Linked DNA regions of Nothobranchius furzeri. The protein of the gene in region 3 binds, or shares a complex with, the protein of the main gene of each other region. Links are inferred from orthologs where the notes say so. Each region holds a gene or a part of one and is shown on either strand. Other genes may lie near its edges.

What was found.
Region 1: smarcc1a (region 3) and smarcd3b share a complex: the UniProt entries of both Homo sapiens proteins name them as parts of the BAF complex. The link is inferred for Nothobranchius furzeri from reciprocal best matches to the Homo sapiens genes SMARCC1 and SMARCD3.
Region 2: smarcc1a (region 3) and dpf3 share a complex: the UniProt entries of both Homo sapiens proteins name them as parts of the BAF complex. The link is inferred for Nothobranchius furzeri from reciprocal best matches to the Homo sapiens genes SMARCC1 and DPF3.

Annotation. Positions count from the first base shown.
Region 1 is NC_091747.1:45,528,093-45,534,295, reverse strand, and holds part of smarcd3b (SWI/SNF-related matrix-associated actin-dependent regulator of chromatin subfamily D member 3b), read left to right. Parts: intron 1-1,714; coding exon 1,715-1,757; intron 1,758-3,470; coding exon 3,471-3,593; intron 3,594-3,691; coding exon 3,692-3,817; intron 3,818-4,735; coding exon 4,736-4,831; intron 4,832-6,203. UniProt on the Homo sapiens protein: Involved in transcriptional activation and repression of select genes by chromatin remodeling (alteration of DNA-nucleosome topology).
Region 2 is NC_091742.1:25,623,439-25,629,641, forward strand, and holds part of dpf3 (zinc finger protein DPF3), read left to right. Parts: intron 1-1,456; coding exon 1,457-1,564; intron 1,565-4,533; coding exon 4,534-4,667; intron 4,668-4,859; coding exon 4,860-4,955; intron 4,956-5,984; coding exon 5,985-6,057; intron 6,058-6,203. UniProt on the Homo sapiens protein: Belongs to the neuron-specific chromatin remodeling complex (nBAF complex).
Region 3 is NC_091745.1:65,009,637-65,015,839, forward strand, and holds part of smarcc1a (SWI/SNF complex subunit SMARCC1), read left to right. Parts: coding exon 1-26; intron 27-125; coding exon 126-218; intron 219-330; coding exon 331-400; intron 401-661; coding exon 662-731; intron 732-954; coding exon 955-1,030; intron 1,031-1,367; coding exon 1,368-1,493; intron 1,494-3,305; coding exon 3,306-3,424; intron 3,425-5,540; coding exon 5,541-5,671; intron 5,672-6,203. UniProt on the Homo sapiens protein: Involved in transcriptional activation and repression of select genes by chromatin remodeling (alteration of DNA-nucleosome topology).

The sequences.
Region 1 (6,203 bases), on a different chromosome or scaffold from region 3:
TGAGCAGACCTTCCTTACGGAGGAAGTCCCGCTGGCACGTTAAGAAGGGGATGGCTGCTGACCCACAGATTCATACCTGCAGCAGCAAATCTGGTGTGACCTCCAGCCTGATCACAACTTTCTCGTTCCTCGCTGCCCTGATGCACTTAAACATCCGCCCCTTAAGCTCCCGATAAGCTTTAGACCGTTTTGTGATGGTATGCATGCGATATTTAGACACTCACTTGTCTCAGAAACATATGATAAACTGACAGAATTGTTTAGAAAATTATCAGAAAGATTTTAGGTTGTTTCTGTCACTTTAAGACACATTGTTGGTGATTGTTTACAGAGGAGTGAGAACACGGAGCATTTTCCCAGTTGCAGCCAGGTGCCTCTTGTTTGCCTGACTAGTTTCATAAACTACTATTCTTGTCTGGTGCTTTCAGCGCTGCACAAACGTTAAATAAATGTTAAAAAAATAGCCTAGCTCGATTTTTGTAAAGCTTCCGGTGCCACCGGGCAGCAGCAGCAGAGACCATCTCTGAAAAATGTTCTCGACGCAGACGCCGTAATTGTCAGGAAGTAATTATTTTTTTGTACAAGTTACGAGAAGAGGCTGATGTGTTTCCTAAATCCTGCATCAGTCCAACCAAGGCAATTTCTTTCCATTTTTATTCCTTTTAGCAGCCGTAGACAGAGCACTGTGTTGTGTGTGTCAGTGATATTCAGTCTACGAGGAAATCCTGCAATGACAAAGATTCCGCCTTGCTTGAATTGCAAGCTGTGATTAAATGCGTGAATTTTTTTACATGTCTTTTTTTTCTAACTAATTAATCATAATTAACGCGTTAAAGTTCCACCCCTACTTTATTTACATGCTGCTTGTAGCTTGTGACACAGTGGAATACGTCACATGGTCCCGTCTGAGGTCGTTTCTGTAACGCTTAAATAGTGCCCCACATATTGAACTTTTAGTACACTCAAAAAACAGTTTTCTGATCAGTATTCTGATTTGCTCACACTGCAGCGCAATTGTTTCCAATCAGTGTCTTTTTTTTAGCATGAACAGACTCAACATCATGTTAAAGACATTCAAATAAATTAAACTTTCTAATTCGAGAAGAGGCTACCCTTTTGTTTTCTAATCAATGTCCAACGGGAAAAAAAAGATTCTGATAAAATTTCAGAAATTAAAGAACACGTATTGTCCGTCTCTGGTGAGTATGAAAGAATTTTAAAAAGTAAGTGCTTGGAAGTCATGAATGGAGTGAAAACTTGCGTCTTTTTAAATGAAAACAACAGTGAAGACTGAATTCCTGAAAAGCTTTATTAAACACATCCTGTCTACCTGCAGCATCAGTGACCCTATAGTGTGTGTGTGTGTGTGTGTGTGTGTGTGTGTGTGTGTGTGTGTGTGTGTGTGTGTGTGTGTGTGTGTGTGTGTGTGTGTGTGTGTGTGTGTGTGTGTGTGTGTGTGGCAGAAGATGTGTGACTTGACACTTTGTTGGCTGTAGAGGCTCACTCTCTCCAGGTGGACCGCTGCATTTCAGAGAACACACGGACAGAGAAACACACACACACACACACACACACACACACACACAGCTGGGAGGCTGGGGTGCTGGATATGGCCCAGCATTTTAGCAGATGGCCTGGGTGCTACGCTATCAGTCACCATAGTAACATGCTCTCTTTTTCCTCTTTCTCTCTGTCTTTCTCTCCTTGTCTGTAGTGCTAAGAGAAGGAAAATGGCAGACAAGATTCTTCCGCAAAGGGTGAGGCTGCATGTATTTATCTTTGTTGTGTTTCTGTATCCTTTTACCTTTTGTCTGCAAAGCAGAAAGATCCTGGTCGCCTTTTCGATGCCCGGGGTCCTGAGGCGGCGCCAGGGGCCGGATGATAATTTGTTATTTCCAAAATAAGAAGGGATGGGTGGAGTGGAGAAGAGTTTTCAGGGTGTTTGTTGTTTAAAATTGAAGTGGTTGTTTGGGTGTGTCAAGAGATGCAGACATGAGTGGGATAGAAACAAGTCGCAGGTGAGTTGGTGGCGTTTGCAGGTTGTGATTTTCTTCCTGTAGCATCAGGTTTTTAACCGCATCCTGTAAGAGAGAGGGGTGAGTCTGCTGAGCTCTGGGCGTCTATGTTCAGGTCTTATCCTCTGACGTTACCCTGACAGAGAGATAGCAGAAGTCATGGCATGGGGTGGCACTCCACTACAATGAGTCAGGCATGGGGAATGTCTTCCACACTTCTCCGCCGGCTCGGCACCTCGGCCCGGTAAAGAGACGCAGATAGAGGAGGAATGAATGGAACAATGAAGGCAGGCTCTCAGGAAGAAAGATGAAAGAAGCTGGAGGGAGGGTGAGGAGCTGTAGGAGCAGTGTGCAGCAGCCCGCCATGCTTGGTGGACTTTCATCTGTATGGTAATGTTGGAGTCCTGGCTGTTTGTCTGCAAAAACTGAATCTCATTTTAATCCCCTCATGCCTGTTAAACACACACGACGGCTTCTACTAAAGCTTTTTATTTCCATGCAACCTCATTAAAGTGCTTTAAATGTGTGGGACACTTATTTAATCATTACATTTGCAGTGATCTATAGCAGGAATGAATGCTCTGTAAGTCCTGCTCGGTGGAGAAAAAAAGCACAGATGCGCCTGTTTCATGAACCACCAGAATGCCACATCAGTGGACAGCTTAACACGGCGGTATTTAGAGTCTTACTTCCTGATATTTGGACATCTCGCCTCTGATTGGCTAACAGCAACATGACTCTACCACTGTTTGCTTTGCAATGTGGATGTTTTATCTCCACAAATAACACAAGCCTGGAGGAGATCAGCTGTGTTGTGGAGTTGCTAATGCTAACAGTTAGCTTCTATCAGCCGAGGCGTTCTCTGCTGTTTCTTGGATGCTAAACCGCCAACAGCCTTCAATCTAAAAAAAAAATTCCTAATAACATCTGGCTGAATCTATCGCGATATATGTGGTATATCATGCCAGCAATACACATGCCTAGTCTCTCATTAAATTAGCTGCATACACATGCTTAACCTTACAACATGTTAGGGATTAAGTGCTAATTGCTGCTAATCTAGCCTATTAACACAGTTCAAGCACTCAATTTGACTACTTTAATTAAACGCCTGTCAAATCAGACTGATTATACATACATAGTTTATTGATTTGGATGCAAGATACTGATTGTCTACAAATATTACTGACACTTGCAGCTAAGCACTAAAGGTGTGTGATGTAAAGTTTATGACATTACTAAAAACTGCAAAGGTTTTATCTCTTTTTATCGTTTGATAAAAATAACTATTTTTACTGTAGTAACTAAGATGTGTTAGCTAATATGTGTTGAATATTTAAGCTAACACGAATCAGCTAACACACTCAATTTTTATTTTTAACGAAAAAATCTGACTTTTTCATTCCTGTTAGGTTCTGATTAAAATGTTCCTAAAGTGTCTTCCTTCCTGCGCAGATCCGTGAGCTGGTACCAGAATCTCAGGCCTACATGGATTTGCTAGCCTTTGAGCGCAAACTGGACCAGACAATCATGCGTAAACGCGTGGACATCCAGGAGGCGCTGAAGAGACCGATGAAGGTAAAACCAGAAGAAAAAGATCTGATCGGGATGGTGGAGTGGACCTCCTCGGGCGATTTCATACTAACCTGTTTTCTTTAATGTTCCATTTGTGTCAGCAGCAAAAGCGTAAATTAAGGCTCTATATTTCTAACACCTTCAACCCGGCTCGACCCGACGCGGACGACTCAGATGGCAGCATTGCATCATGGGAACTGAGAGTTGAGGGCAAGCTGCTGGAAGATGTGAGGATTTTCATGTATTCTCAGCAGGGTTTGAATTACACACAGTCTTCTGGGGGAGCCCCGTTTCCTTGGGTGGGGGGGCTGTTGTCCGTCCGATCACCTTCATTATTGCGCCATCGGGGGGGGGGGCTAGATCACTTTTGAGGTTACCTCGGGATGTGTCAGTTGAGGGCTTCTGGGGGAGCCTATCACCTTTTCAGGGGAGCCGAGCTCCCCCTAGCTCCCCCGTGATTCGAACCCTGATTCTCAGACATTTTTAGTTAACTTTGGAGTTTTATTTCAGAGGGCACCGTCTAGAGGAGGAAAAGTGTATTGCACCACAAGCCCCTCTCTATTCTCGTGATCACAGCTAGAAGCAACACCTCTCGTTTGTTAAAGCACACCTTTAGCTAGCCAACAGAGGTAAAACACAATTATTATTCTCTGCACCAGTCTAGGTACGTCGTCCAACTCATGCGCCCACTTGGTGATGGTGCATGTCTAACGCTTCAAATTGCATGGGGCTCTATGGAACGGGGGGGGCTGGCTCCAATGTAAAACTATCATTTTTACTAATTTCTAAAAGATCATACGGTATATAATTCCTGAAAGAGGGAAAACTCTGAATTGCTGCTTTAAAGAACTGGTTTTAGGAGTGTTTAGAGATGACAGTAATTAGTTCTGAGCCGTAGGAGCTGATGATGTCAGCAGCAAAGTGCGCGAAAGTTTCAGAAACCAAAAATTTTTCAGGTTAGGTCCAGAGGAAGTGGGTTCTTTATACGTCTGCTCACTGTTTTAATGTGATCTCACTCAGCTGCTCGTGGTTTCTTACACCTTATGAAGCTAAAAACAAAGTGCATCTATTCATCTATATTTGTGAGTCCACCCACACGTGCACACAGCCGATCCTAACCCACCACCTCTCGTCTGTCCCAACAGCCCGGGAAGCAGAAGAAGAAGTTCTCCTCGTTTTTTAAGAGCTTGGTGATCGAGTTGGACAAAGATCTGTATGGGCCAGACAACCACCTGGTGGAGGTCTGCACAAACACCCCAACACTACTGCCTGCCACCCACCGCCTCAAAAATAACTAAATAAATAAAACACACAAACTCACCTTCAAGCAGCATCTTTTGGATGAATCTTTAACCCCGCTGGGTTAAAAGGTGACTCAAAATAAATCTGAGAGCTTCTTATTAACATTTTACCTCCATTTCAACGACGTCAGATCTAACGGACACTAAACTTTTCACAACACCTCTGTTTTTACCCCTCAAAGTGAAATATGAAAGCAGCGTCAGAAGGTGGTCAGTCTGACGGGGAGTCTAAAGGAAGTCAAGAAATAGTTCAGCTTATAACACCCTCCTAAAACCGCAGCTTATTAGCTTTCCACTTCACTTAAAGTAAATGTGAAACAAATGACAGCTGGGTGTCTGTCTGGGCTCTCTTGACTGTTTTAAGGTAAAAATGCTATTTTTGGTAGCTAGCCACCTTAAAATGTAGAATAAATCAGAATAAGATAACTTTTTATGTGTAAACAAAGCTTTTTTGGAAAAATTTAGCCAAATTCTCCATGTTTTCAAAAACTGATGCTACTTTTCGCCTGATTTTGACATTCTTCCTGAACAGTTTGTTCCGTTGCTAGTAAAGAGCTTTTCTCTGCTGCACAAATCACTAAAGCCGTTCAGTCAAGGTCGACGTCCCAACATTTTGTCTCGTCTGGCTAAATCTTCAGGAACACCGATCCCGCTTTGGCTGAACATGAAATTAAACAGAAACACGAGGCTGTTCAAACATGCTAATGAAGAAACCGGCTGCTTTATTTTAAACAACCAGCTGCTGCTCTTCACCTTACATAAAAATGTTCCGACGTGTTTTATGAAATCCACTTCAGGAGATTCGGAGTGGAAATCGCGTCCTCTCAGGGTTTCATCTTTTTAACCCAGCGCTCAGGTGCTTCGCTTTGAACCGTTTTCAATCAAAAGAATTCAGCTTTCCACCCTGAGACGCATTCAGGGTTTGATCTGTTGGGGAGCGTGTCAGCTGACACGGAAGGGACGGAAAATCCACACGTCAATGTTTCTGAAGATTTAAATAATAGGTGTTTTAGTTATTTAACACCTTGCTAGCTAATGTAAGCCAATAATATTTAAAATATGCAGTCTAATTTTGCACTCTGACTCCGGTTATTTAGCCAGGTGGTTAAACCTCTGCTCTCCTGAGGGTTTGCTTTCCGTGCATGGCTGCTTTGCAGATATTTAACCTTTCACCAAACACAGCGCTCCCTGTCAGCGCGGGCGCTCCACGCTCAAACGACCTCCTCCAGTGGTTTTATTTAGTCTGTGTTCAAGTCTTCTTATAAAAATACGATCATAATTAGACTCAAGATGCGTTTATTATCACCACTTA
Region 2 (6,203 bases), on a different chromosome or scaffold from region 3:
GATTAGGACGCCTCCTTGGTGAAGTTTTTTGGGCACTTCTAATTGGGAGGAGATCGAAAGGAAAACCCAGGACACGCCGAAGGGACTATGTCTCACGGCCGGCCAGGGAATGCCCTAAAAGGTACAAAAAGTCCCTAAAGAAGTGTTGATCACCAGTTCAAAAGCTTGTTCGGGTTCATCTGAAACAAAATCTAAAGAAATGAGGGATGACTTTAACACTTGTAAATATGCATCCATTTCTTCAATAAGATCAGACTCTGATGTCTCAGAAATGGTTTTTCTTTGATTTATCGAGCAGTCGAGACTTTTTACGCACGTGCGGTTCATCTGAGAAGCCAAAGGGAACAATCATGCTTTTTTCTGAGACCTGAACAGAAATAGCCCGCTCTCCATCTCCATGCAAAGTCCTTCAGGCCACACCCTATACTTTGTGGCAGACCTAACACACATGATATGCATTTATTCTGGGCTTATTCCTCCCCCAACTTCTCCTGAGATTTTTATTTGATGCTCTACTCATGTGGACATAAAAGCTCTTCTCCTTTGCTTCTGTCTCCTAGATTATGGTTAAATGCGTAGGTAGTTCATTATTTATGAGCAGGGAGATAATTATGCTTTGCCAGAGCATTCTACGATTTTAACGTGTTTGATGAAATATTTTTTACTTACAAACAACAATGCCAAAAAAGAAAAAAAAAACTAAAATTAAATCTTTGTTTCTTTAACCAAACAAGTAATTTATCTGAAATAAAATAGCACCATGTTTAACAGGAATGCCCCCAAACCTATTATTCCCATCTAAGGAAATTAATTTGAAGGCTGAGAATTATTTATTTATTTATTTTAAACAGTCTTGGATTATTTAGGAGACCAAATATCACACATTATATGCTAACATAAGTCCTGCAATTTGTCAGGACCAACCAAACAGGCTAACGTCCAGCCAATCACGTATTGTGACGTAAACGGCAGCTCCCTCAGCTGATCTGAGAGCCTGAGTACATCTGATACCCCTGCATTAATTCCATGTAGATTTTGGTGTTATGCAAAAATGCTAAATGTGTGAAAATTAAAAAAACTTTGCTTAAAAAATCTTTGAGTCAACTATTATGAAATTTTGAGCAGTTTGATCTTTGCTTTGCTCTGGCTAGCCAATTGTTCATCAGTCAATTTGGATATACACTTTGTTTCTCCATACTGATGTTCAGGAAAAGTGAGATAGTAGCAATGTCTTTAAGTACAAGGCCTGTCCGTGGACCAGTGTACGTGCATGCGTGGGTTTGTGTGTGTGTGTGTGTGTGTGTGTGTACAAAACTCAATGGAGGGTTTGTTACCCTTGCCAGTAGGTTTTGAAATTCTTCCAGTGTGCCCATGTCTCTCCTCGCGCTCGTGTGTGTGTGTGTGTGTGTGTGTGTGTGAAATCTTATAATCCTGTTGCATACGTGTGTTTTTTCAGGCCAGGCTGCAGGACAGATGTATACGTACCCTGCTCGTTGCTGGAGAAAGAAGAGGCGACTCCACCCTCCCCTGGATCCCCAGCTCCGCCTGTGTGAGCTTCGTCTAGGTAAGACAAGACAAACAACATACAGGCACATTGCTGCACCGAACACACACACACACACACACACACACACACACACACACACACACACACACACACACACACACACACACACACACACACACACACACACACACACACACACACACACACACACACACAAAAAGATGGTTTTGACACACCGTTGCACAAATAAAACCACTTTAACTCATGCATTGTTTCACCTTTGCAAACTAATGTCAATTTAATAGAAATGTTCATCATTTCTCTCAGGATTGGGCCATCTGGCTCTGGTTATCCCATCTCTCACACCAGGTCTCCAGGTTCATTCGCTCCCCTGAATCAATCCCCCCTCTTGCTGTTCTGTGGCTGCATGCACACACTTTATACTAACACCCCCCACATGTGACTCTTTCTCCCCGCTGCAGCTCAGAAGCACCCTTAGTAGGCCTCAATAGTAATTTATTCACAAGACAATGACATGTGAGTCGTATGAAGTGGCAGCATTGCTTTATGATGTGCATCCGTGCATGCTTACAGTTTTTGTTAGAGGGTTTAAGCAAAGGAATGCTCAGGAACCTGATAAGATGGTGGATAAAGGCATAGCTTTGTTTCTGCTTTCCTCATCCATTGTTTCACCCCTCGCTCTCTTCCAGACGCAATATAATACTCCAGAGCTTTCTGCAAAGAATGATTCCTTTTTAAGTTGAGGAAAGAGAGCTGCAACCTAAGTGCATGACAGAAAATCTCTACAGCTTAAAGCGAGGAGATGGAGCTTTTTCTGTTTTGTTGTTTCGTTTTGCAGGTTGACCCAAATATCTACAATAACACCATGGGGATGTGAATACTCTCCTTTGTTTTGTTCGATGGTTGATGTTTATTTAATGCATCCTGTGCAGAGGTTTGTCTGTGTGCACAGATGCACAGAGGAGCTGTCATGAAACAGTGGTTTTCTTTATGCTTTGCTCTGAGCTTTTAGTGTCAGCAGCTTTTCTTAAAATAAACCTAAGTGATGTAAAACTCGAACTAAAGCTTGAAATGGCCATCACTGTTAGGGTATACAATGAGGATTTAAACAAAATTGGCATAAATACAATACATTTACTGTAGAAATAGCCAGATGTTGTTGTTTTAAAATGAATTATTTTATATTTGGTGGCATTAAAAAAAATCTTGGAACAAGTGCAACAACAATCTGCAATATTTTTGGTGAATAATAAAAACAAATCAGTCTCACAGCTTTTGTGGGCAAAATTAGCATCATTTTAAGATATTGGCGATGAAACTGACTTCAGAGAAAAAAATAAAAAATCGGTCAGTCAATCAATCAATCAATCAATCAATCAATCAATCATCAATCAATCAATCAACAAATCAACCAACTAACCAACCAACAATCAATAAATCAACAAATCAACCAACTAACCAACCAATCAATCAATCAATCAACCAACTAACCAACCAACAATCAATCAATCAACCAATCAATCAATCAATAAATCAATCAACCAACCAACCAACCAATCAACAAATCAACCAACCAATCAACAAATCAACCAACTAACCAACCAACCAACAACCAATCAACAAATCAACTAACAAATCAACCAACTAACTAACCAACCAACAATCAATCAATCAATCAATCAATCATTGACCCAACATAAAACCTCTCTTCCCCACCCAGAAATTTTAATTATGATCACATCTATTGTGGTGAAGTAGGAGCTGAGCCAGAAAGCCAGGCTCTCGATTTACCGGTCGATCTACGTTCCTACCCTCACCTATGGTCATGAGCTTTGATTAATGACAGAAAGAACGAGATCGCGGATACAAGCAGCCGAAATGAGTTTTCTCCGTGGTGTGGATGGGCTCAGCCTTAGGGATAGGGTGAAGAGCTCTGTCATTCGGGAGAGACTTTAAGTAGAGCCACTGCTCCTCCATATCGAGAGGAGTCAGTTGAGGTGGTTTGGGCATCTTGTTACGATGCCTCCTGGACGCCTCCCTAGGGCCAGCAGGAGGCCCCCTGGCCGACCCAGGACACGTTGGAGAAAGTACATCTCCGACCTTGCCCCGGGAACGCCTTGGGGTCCTACCGGAGGAGCTGGTGGAGGTGGATAAACGGAAGACGCGATCACATTTATGTACCCCTCTTCCCCATTTATAGCCCTCAAGCACACACACAGTCATGTTAAATCTTTGTTAAACTTGGAGAAATTTTTGTTTGTAACAGACAAGATCAAGGACTGTTGACAGTTTTTACAGCAGGAAGCTCTGATATATAAGATGACACAATAAATGAAAGATTTTAATAATAAGAAGAATGAGAATAAAGATCCAGAAACAACCATTCTTCTGTGGGTCCAGACTGATGTAGAAACCTACCTTTTAAGTCATTTATGGACTCTCAATCAACTGGAAATATATATTAGATCAGTGTAATTAGAAGGGAAGGAGTATATTGGCATTAACAACTTGTCCATCTCCTGGCATACGTTAACTTTTGATCATTTTGAATCAAAACATAATTTATCACAACTTCAATATACATGGTGTTTTTTTAAATGCGACTTTATGCAACAAAAACTTCAGGGCTTGTGGTAAATATGAATAAGCATTTCATTGTTGCAGCATATTAAATGGCCAATAGCAACACATTGCTGTGTGGCGCGTTAAAGAGAAAATGTCCATGTTATAAATGCATTTTCAGTTTTTCCTTCCAATAAAAGCTTGGAACGACAAGCAGTGAAACAAAAAAATCCATTGGCTGCCATCTTTAAACACATGACTCTCTCTCTCTCTCTCTCTCTCTCTCTCTCTCTCTCTCTCTCTCTCTCTTTATATATATATATATATATATATATATATATATATATATATATATATATGTGTGTGTGTGTGTGTGTGTGTGTGTGTGTGTGTGTTATATTTTTATTTTTATAACTATTTCTATCCTTACCGTGCCTCTACAGAAGCAGAGCTGGCCCCTAAGCGTGAGGGGCCACCAGGGGAGGCCACGGCCCTGGAGGCCCTTCTGAGGAGTGACAACCTGCTGGAGAAAAAAAACAACATCGCTAAAGAAGAGGAAACTCTGCTGGAAATACAGGTTTTTGTGCATTTTTTGTATAATTCTAAAACAGGTTTAAATAATGTCAGGTTATCTATTACTAACGAAATGTGATTGCAGCATTAAAACTTGTAGAAAAGTACCTTTGCACCATGGAGCGAAGCATACCTCTGTGTTCTGCTTTGCCTGATTTTTTTTCATGCAGTGAGTTATTTTGGTCTAATCATGCAGAGAGTGCTGGAGGCGGAGGAAAACGGGGACAGTTTCCACGATGAGGATGAGTTTGAACTTGATACTCCAAAGAGAAAGAACAAGAATAGAGGAAAAGTAAGTGAACAAGACGTGAGACACCAACTCCTCTCTGAGGTTTGTGGTGTGAAGGGTAGTATGGACGCCAACAGGGAACATGTTTTGGGTGTAACATGAGAAAAACTCATCTTTGCACCATTATTTTATTTCATTTTTTGCGAAAATAGATAAAATGAGTCTAATATCTTAATTATCTTGGTTAGTTGGTTAGTTTCCGGAACTGCGCTGCTCTGGGTGGCTCCATGTTGGAGTAGCTCTGTTGACTATATGTAAGTTTTGCCTTTTTTTGGGACATTTTACTTTTCTGTTTCTGGTGCTGTGAAGCTTAGAGGATTTTTACTGCAATTTTTTCACTTTTTTCACTTTTTGAGCGTTTGTTATGATGCGTAACCATGGTTACAAGCTGGTTTACAATCGGGAGCAGCTGATTAACATTGGAAAGGCTGAAATAATACCTCAACTGAAGCCTCAAGTCCCAAATGAGCTAAAATGCAAGAAGCGTGTATGCAGAGCGGGAGCAAAACGGAAACAGAGAAAGAGGAATTTCAAACCATCTCTTCCTTCGATCATAATGGACAATGATAAATCAGGTGCTGGTCAGCATCAGAAGCAGGGACCTGAAAAGGCTCAACAGCCTAATAAAAAAGGCTGGTTCTGTTCTGGAGATGACTGTGGAACCACTGGAGGAGATAATGCAAAGAAGGATTCTCCAGAGAATCAAGAAAATGATGGACAACCCTGAGCATTCTCTTCACAAGACTGTCCGACAACGGAAGAGTGTCTTCAGTCAGAGGCTTCTTCAGTTTGGCTGCAACACCGACCGCTACTGGAGATCCTTCCTGCCAACAGCCATTGTAATATACAACAACTCTTTGATGACTAGATTATTATTATTATTCTCAGCAATCAATTTCCCCCTGGGATTAATAAAGTATTTTTGAATTGAATTGATTTGAATTAAAAAATGCATGCGTGTTGGATTTTTGTTTTAACGCTGGAACACGTGCAGGATTCCACACCTGATCGATGTTTATCGTTTCCCTCCAGAACAGAGGATCAACTCGCAGAAGGACAGAACCTGTTAATACTGATGACCAGGATAAACCTTACGTCTGTGACAGTAAGGATACAAATAGCTTGCTTTTTTTGGTCTGCTTGTCACATTATCCTGCTATTAAATTAGAGAAAAGAAGATGAGTGTTTCTCTAATCCTTTAATGATACTGTTTTATCTGTCTGGTCCTAAGAACTGGTCCTGATCTGCAGC
Region 3 (6,203 bases):
TAAATGTTGAGAAGAACCTGGTTCAGGTATGAGCATCCCAGTCTGAACACAGACTTTTTGTCTTCTATATATTTGACCTCTGCATGGGTAACGTCTGGTTTTATCGATGGTTTGTGTTTTTGTAGAATAACTGCTTGACGCGACCTCTGGTCTACCTGTCTTCGGAAATAGAGCAAAAACAAGCGAGTAAGCTCAAAGACATCGTCAAAAGGCACCAGGTGAGTTCACTTCAAACCAGGAAATAAAAACAGTTTATTTTTTTATGTATTTTTATTATGACTAGCATGAACGTCTTTGTCTTTTCAATTATCTAACTTTGTTTCTCTTCAGGGCTCCACCACCGAGGATAAGTCAAAGGCCACCCACCACATTTATCCTTCTCTTCAGCAGCAGGAAGAAGGTTGGTTTATAACTTTTGTGACTTTGTGCATACATTTTATGATGTATGTTTGAACTTGGGTGTTATTGTTCCTTGCTGATCTGACTCATTTATAGTGTGATCTCTATCCCATCAAACACATCTAGATCAGAATAAAGATCATTTAGCTCCGTTTATGGAGGCTTTATTTAGCTGATCTTCTTGAAAATGGGAATTTTTTGTCACAGCACGGATAAAATCTTCGCTAATTGCTGAAGTTGTGCTGGGGGTTGTGTTTTTCAGAAGAGTGGCTACGTCCTGTGATGAGGAAAGACAAGCAGGTGCTTGTTCACTGGGGCTTTTCCCCTGACAGGTAATCAGAAAGGATCACAGAGAGACTCGGACATGCTTTTCTTTATTGTGGATATGTTTTTACTCTGCAGGAGTATTTCTCTAAAGTTATTCAGTTTCTATTTTTATTAGTAATTTAAAAAACACTAAATCTAATGTCAGAGACATTTTTGCCAAGTTTTTTGTTTTGAAATCACCCAGATTAACCACCTTACTGATCCTGTGTCTGTTATGTATTTTACCAGCTACGACACCTGGGTGGCAGCTGGTGAGGTGGACGGAGACGTTGAAGACCCTCCCAGTGCTGACCGACCCTGGAAGGTGGAGCACCCTCTACCAAAATGATCTGTTTAGCACTGAAGATTTCATAAATAGACACACAAGCGTAAAACTAGCCTGGCTGCTCAGAAAACTTTTTTTTCTGGAAAAAACATGTAAATCTAGATATTGGTATTAACCCTTCTGATGTGTGGAAAACATAACTTTTTAGAATTAATTATTTTCAATAATTTAATGACTGCATCCTATTTGTATTGTAAATTGATTTAATCATTTTTGGTGTCCGTGAAGCTTTTCTCCTGTGATGCTTCACAGCAGTAAACACTGAGTTATTGTTTTTTTAACCACCACCCTTTCTCTCCATATACTTTTATGTCAGGTTCATGCCAAATGGGTTTCAGACACCGATGCCTTCAATGAGTGGATGAATGAAGAGGACTACGAGGTGGACGAGAACAAGAAGCCAGTCAGCTTCCGACAGAAGATTTTCCCTAAAGAGGAGGAGGTAGCTGTTTGATGCAGATTTTAATAAATGTACCTCAGAGTCACAGAGGTCAGGAACAACGTCCTGATTATATCACATGTAATTGTTTTTGAGTGATGTTATATTCTGTTGCAAGCTTGTGTTTTGTTGCGTTTAGCTTTGCCTTGTAGGTTGTTCTCTGTCGTCTTCCTTCGTCCACGTCCGGTTCCGTTTCTTACTCATCCTTTTCAAACCTTTCCTCACATTTTGTGTCCTTTAAATACTTTTCAGGGTTCCTGTCTGTGTTAAGAGGGAGTGTTTATTAAAGCAACACTAAAGAAGTTTCCCACTTCTCCCTCCTACTGGTTTAAAGTGGAGTTACAACTGTCGTTAACAACTACGGTTCAACACCAATACTTACCCCGGCTTTCCACAGGAGCCGTCAGCAGCACGTCATAGCTGCTGATAGGAACCGCTGTGGTCAACAGAACCTTTTCCACCGGAGCCGTCAGCAGCGCGAGTCGGCCGCGTCTCAGGAGCAGCATGTCGCGGCCTTTACGCGCCGGTTCTATTTTCTACGCGCGACGCCTCTGAAACGGGTCAAGTTCGAAATTTTTGGGGAAGGAAAGACAGGAAATCGGACGCGGAAATGGAGAGAAGCTCCCGAGATTTTCAGAATAAAGAACGTACTGCCTTCCGTTTGCTTTACTTTTAAAAAAGGTTACTAACTGTGCGGCCCCGTGAGAAGTTATCACCTAGCTAGCGGTCTCCTTTGTTTTTCAGGTCCGTATTGGTGATTATAAAACGGACAGAACATAAAACGCAAACCATGTTGTAGTTTTCTCCTGCTTGTTGTTGTGTTTACTGACGAAGTCACTCGTGTGACTTCGTGCTCGGTCGGTGACAGCTGCTCCCCTGCTGCTTCGCGCCTCGTGGGAAGGGCCAAGCAGCAGGTTACGCGAGCAAGACGTGCTGCTGCAGTAATGTGCTGCTGACGGCTCCCGTGGAAACCCGGGGTTAGACTGTGGCCTACGATTTTCTGTAAAGTACACGTTGAGGAAGTGCACAGTAGGGGCTCGAGTGTGTAGTACACAAGTGTGCCAAATTGGGACATGGAGCATTGTGTCATCTACAGTGACACATGCTGGTTGCTTCTTATGCTATTTAAAAAAATAATAATCTTAATTAACTTTCTAACAATTATTTGACAAAATTTACATTCATTGCTGTCCACATTAAATTTTAGTCTAAAACATTTAGAGCATGAATAAATATAGTTATTCGCCCGGAAATTAACTTCTTTCTTGAAAATACATATTTTCAGAAAAGAGACTTGAGCCATTGATCCGCCTTCTTTTGAAAATTCCCGTGCAGCAATGGATTGTGGGTAATGCAAAAGTGCGAAGCAAGGGCAAAAGGGGCACCCTACGCACTGGACACCCCTGGACAGGACAAGGCCTGCTGTAGCTATTGCTAACAGCGAGCTAATGCAAGCACGAGCTAACTGATTCCAAATGAGCCACAAAATAAAAAGATTCACTCTGTTGGACAAAAAATATTATAACTTACAATTCCAGTAGATACAAAGCCAGGTCACCATCAGTGATTTCACAGAAACCTGTTTATGACAAAGTAACACATTACACCACATTGAACTAGTGTTTTCTAGTGCGTTAGTGTACAGGAACCCTGATTGTGTCTTCCACCCAACAAAACATCCTCTCCCCTACCTGCTGTTGTTATCCCGCTGCTTCCCCTCCTTGTGTGTGCAGCCGTTCCATCCTCTCATTCTGTGGCTCTTTCTCTCATCCTCCATCCCTCGCTCCCTGTGCTGCTCGGGGTTTGTCTGATCAGTCTTCCCGTACACCTGATCGCAAGGAGCGCAAGGCAAACTCTGCTGGCAAGAAGAGGAGACGCTCGCCCTCGCCGCCCAGCACTCCCGCCGAATCCCGCAAGAAGGGAGGGAAGAAAGGGTAAGAAGGCCAATTTGATATCTTAGCTTTTAAAAAATTTATCAAAGATCTGTACCGTTGTTACTTAAGGGTCAATATACATTTGTTTTTAAATCATGTGTTACTCGGTATGCTTGTTTTTCTACATTTTAAGGAAAGAAACTAGGGCTGCTCAATTATTCGAATTTTAATCCCAATTACGATTTGAGTTTTGAGCGATTATTAAAAACAAAACAAGCTGATTATTTCGGGGTATCCACGGGTCTTTAAAAAGTCTTAAATTTGCTTTTCCAAATTTGAGGCCCTAAAAGTCCTTAAAAATTACAAATAATCCTTAAGTACAGTTTCCAAAGGTCTTAAATTACCAAATACCCAATTTTATTTCTATAAAATTTTCATGAATTTCTAGTTAGTGTTCAGCATTTTTTGTGTATGATGTTGGCGTAAGCGGAGCCGTACACATTCAGTTGGTTGTGAAAGGGGGCTATTTTTAGATGAGCACATTAGCTGGTTAAGCTAGTGGGAGCTTGCGCCATGGGGAAGTGCAAGTTTAATGGTAACTGGATGGCTAATCCCACGTTCGCGACGTGGTTAGCACCGGTTCCAGGCAATGGCTGGAAATTAGTTTTAATTTTTAAAAATAGCTTAAATTTTTGTCAAGGTGGCCTTAAAAATGGTCTTAAAGTCTTAAATTTGGCTCCCTTAAACCTGCAGATACCCTGTTATTTGCTCCTCCCTCTTGTGCTGCTCCAAGTTGCAAATCAAGCGCTCCTCCCACAGTGTTGCCAACTTGGCGACTTTGTTGCAATTTCCAACAGCTTTTCAGACCCCCATCTTGACTTTTTGAATCTTAAAAGTGCCTAGTGATAAACCCAGAAACATTTCTGATAACCCTTGGCTACTACCGTCGTTGGCATTTCCTGCACGTTAGCAAAACACTCTGCCTGCGCTCCGGACCGGTCCTTCAGGACATTAGGAAAGGGAATGATGTTGTGATGTTGGTCGCAAAAGAAACGGCTCTCAGAGGCGGCTCCCTCTTGAATTAACCAGAGTGAGTGACACACACACTGTACCTGCAGGCTCCTGAGCCGCTAAAAACGGCAAAATGTGCATGTGTGGCGCGCTAAACTCACGCAGCTTGCCCCTGCCTGCTGTGAGGCCGGGTGGGGGGTTGCAGCACACCTCCGATCGCTGTGGCTGGGACAGTTATTACATTAACTGATGCGACCTGTAAATAAATAGTTTATAAACAAGGTAGAAATAGATAGAAATAAGTTCCTTGCTGATAAATGATGTCTATGAGGACACGTTGCTAGTGTACACTCCCCTACAGCACCGCTTGACGGGACTAAATAAATATTATGCAAAATTTTGTGAACGTAACTAAAACACATATGTTTATCTGTTTTTTATTTGTTAAAAATGCCACGGTATGATTCCTGCTGCCAGTATTTGCAAGAAGCTGGATGGATATGTGGGTCTGTACTGGTCAGGCTTAAATGAGTTAAACCTCAGCCCTTTGGGTCATAAATAATGAGCAACTATATTGGCCTTTACATACTAGGACTCAGGAGTTGTTTTAGTGATCATCTTGTTAATTTCTTTTTCGTATTTACTTTTGTCCTGATTGTGCCCCGAGCAATTTTATGACTGAATAAAGAAACAAACTAATAAAATTAACAATAATTGAAAAATCATCTTAAATAATCGAGATCACAATTTCAGTTACAATAATCGTGATTATCATTTTTGCCATAATCGAGCAGCCCTAAAAGAAACTGTTACGGGGTTCTGCAGAGGCAGCGAGGCACCTTGAATTGTCTCTGTGTAAAATATGCTGTATAAATAAAACTGCCATGCATTATAACAGCCATTGAGGTGACACAGATATTCCAGATCACAAGCTTCTCGTGAATTATTAATTATTAGAGCTGCAGATTTCTCAGTTTGATTCCAATGTTTTCAACAGTCTGACCTGCTGAGTTCTGGTTCTGTTTCATTTCTCCTCCTACATCCGTCACTGGCAGCTTATTAAATGATGTTTCTGATGAAATGCTGCGCTGTCGGCATGTTCATCCATACCAGGAGGGATTTAACCCTTTCCTGTTTGACTAACCATAAAACTAAATCCCCTCAGGAACTCTGGGCCACACTGGAAGAGACGGGGTCACAGAGGAGAGGAGGAGGACACAGAGGAGGACATCACGAAGGACTTGGACGACTCGTCTGCCGGTGCCAGTTTGGAGGATGGCTGCATGTCTAAGAACAGTATGTACTTAATAAAAGGATAAAGCAGAAGTCTTCCTTTGAATATTAAAACACGACTTTATATAATAATTTTGAGACACAACTTTGTGCTTGTTTGGTGAAGAATTTTTAATCAGCAGCTGTTTATACAAACTCGTCAAAGTTTGGTTTTAGCATCAGATGTTTGTTCTGTTTGTAGCTGCAGTAGCTACACCACAGACCTTCAAATTTCACAGCTCATTATTCATCTTAAAAACTGTAAATACTGATATGTCTAGCCTCAGAGGAGGATACGTTAGTGGGCCCTCACTTCTACTGTGTGGCCATGTTGAAGTGGGTTTTTTTGGGAGGGGGGTGGGTTCCTTCTATAAAGTGATTCAATGTCAAATAAGGAATCACCTGTTCCAGTATTTTGGCTAAAATATACCAAATTAAGCACTATGTCTTTCGCTGTTTATATCACAATCTAATTCTGGAGAAACTAATGAACATGCAGATCAGGGCTGCACGATGCTGGATAAAAATCACATTACCATTTCTAATCCTGAGTATT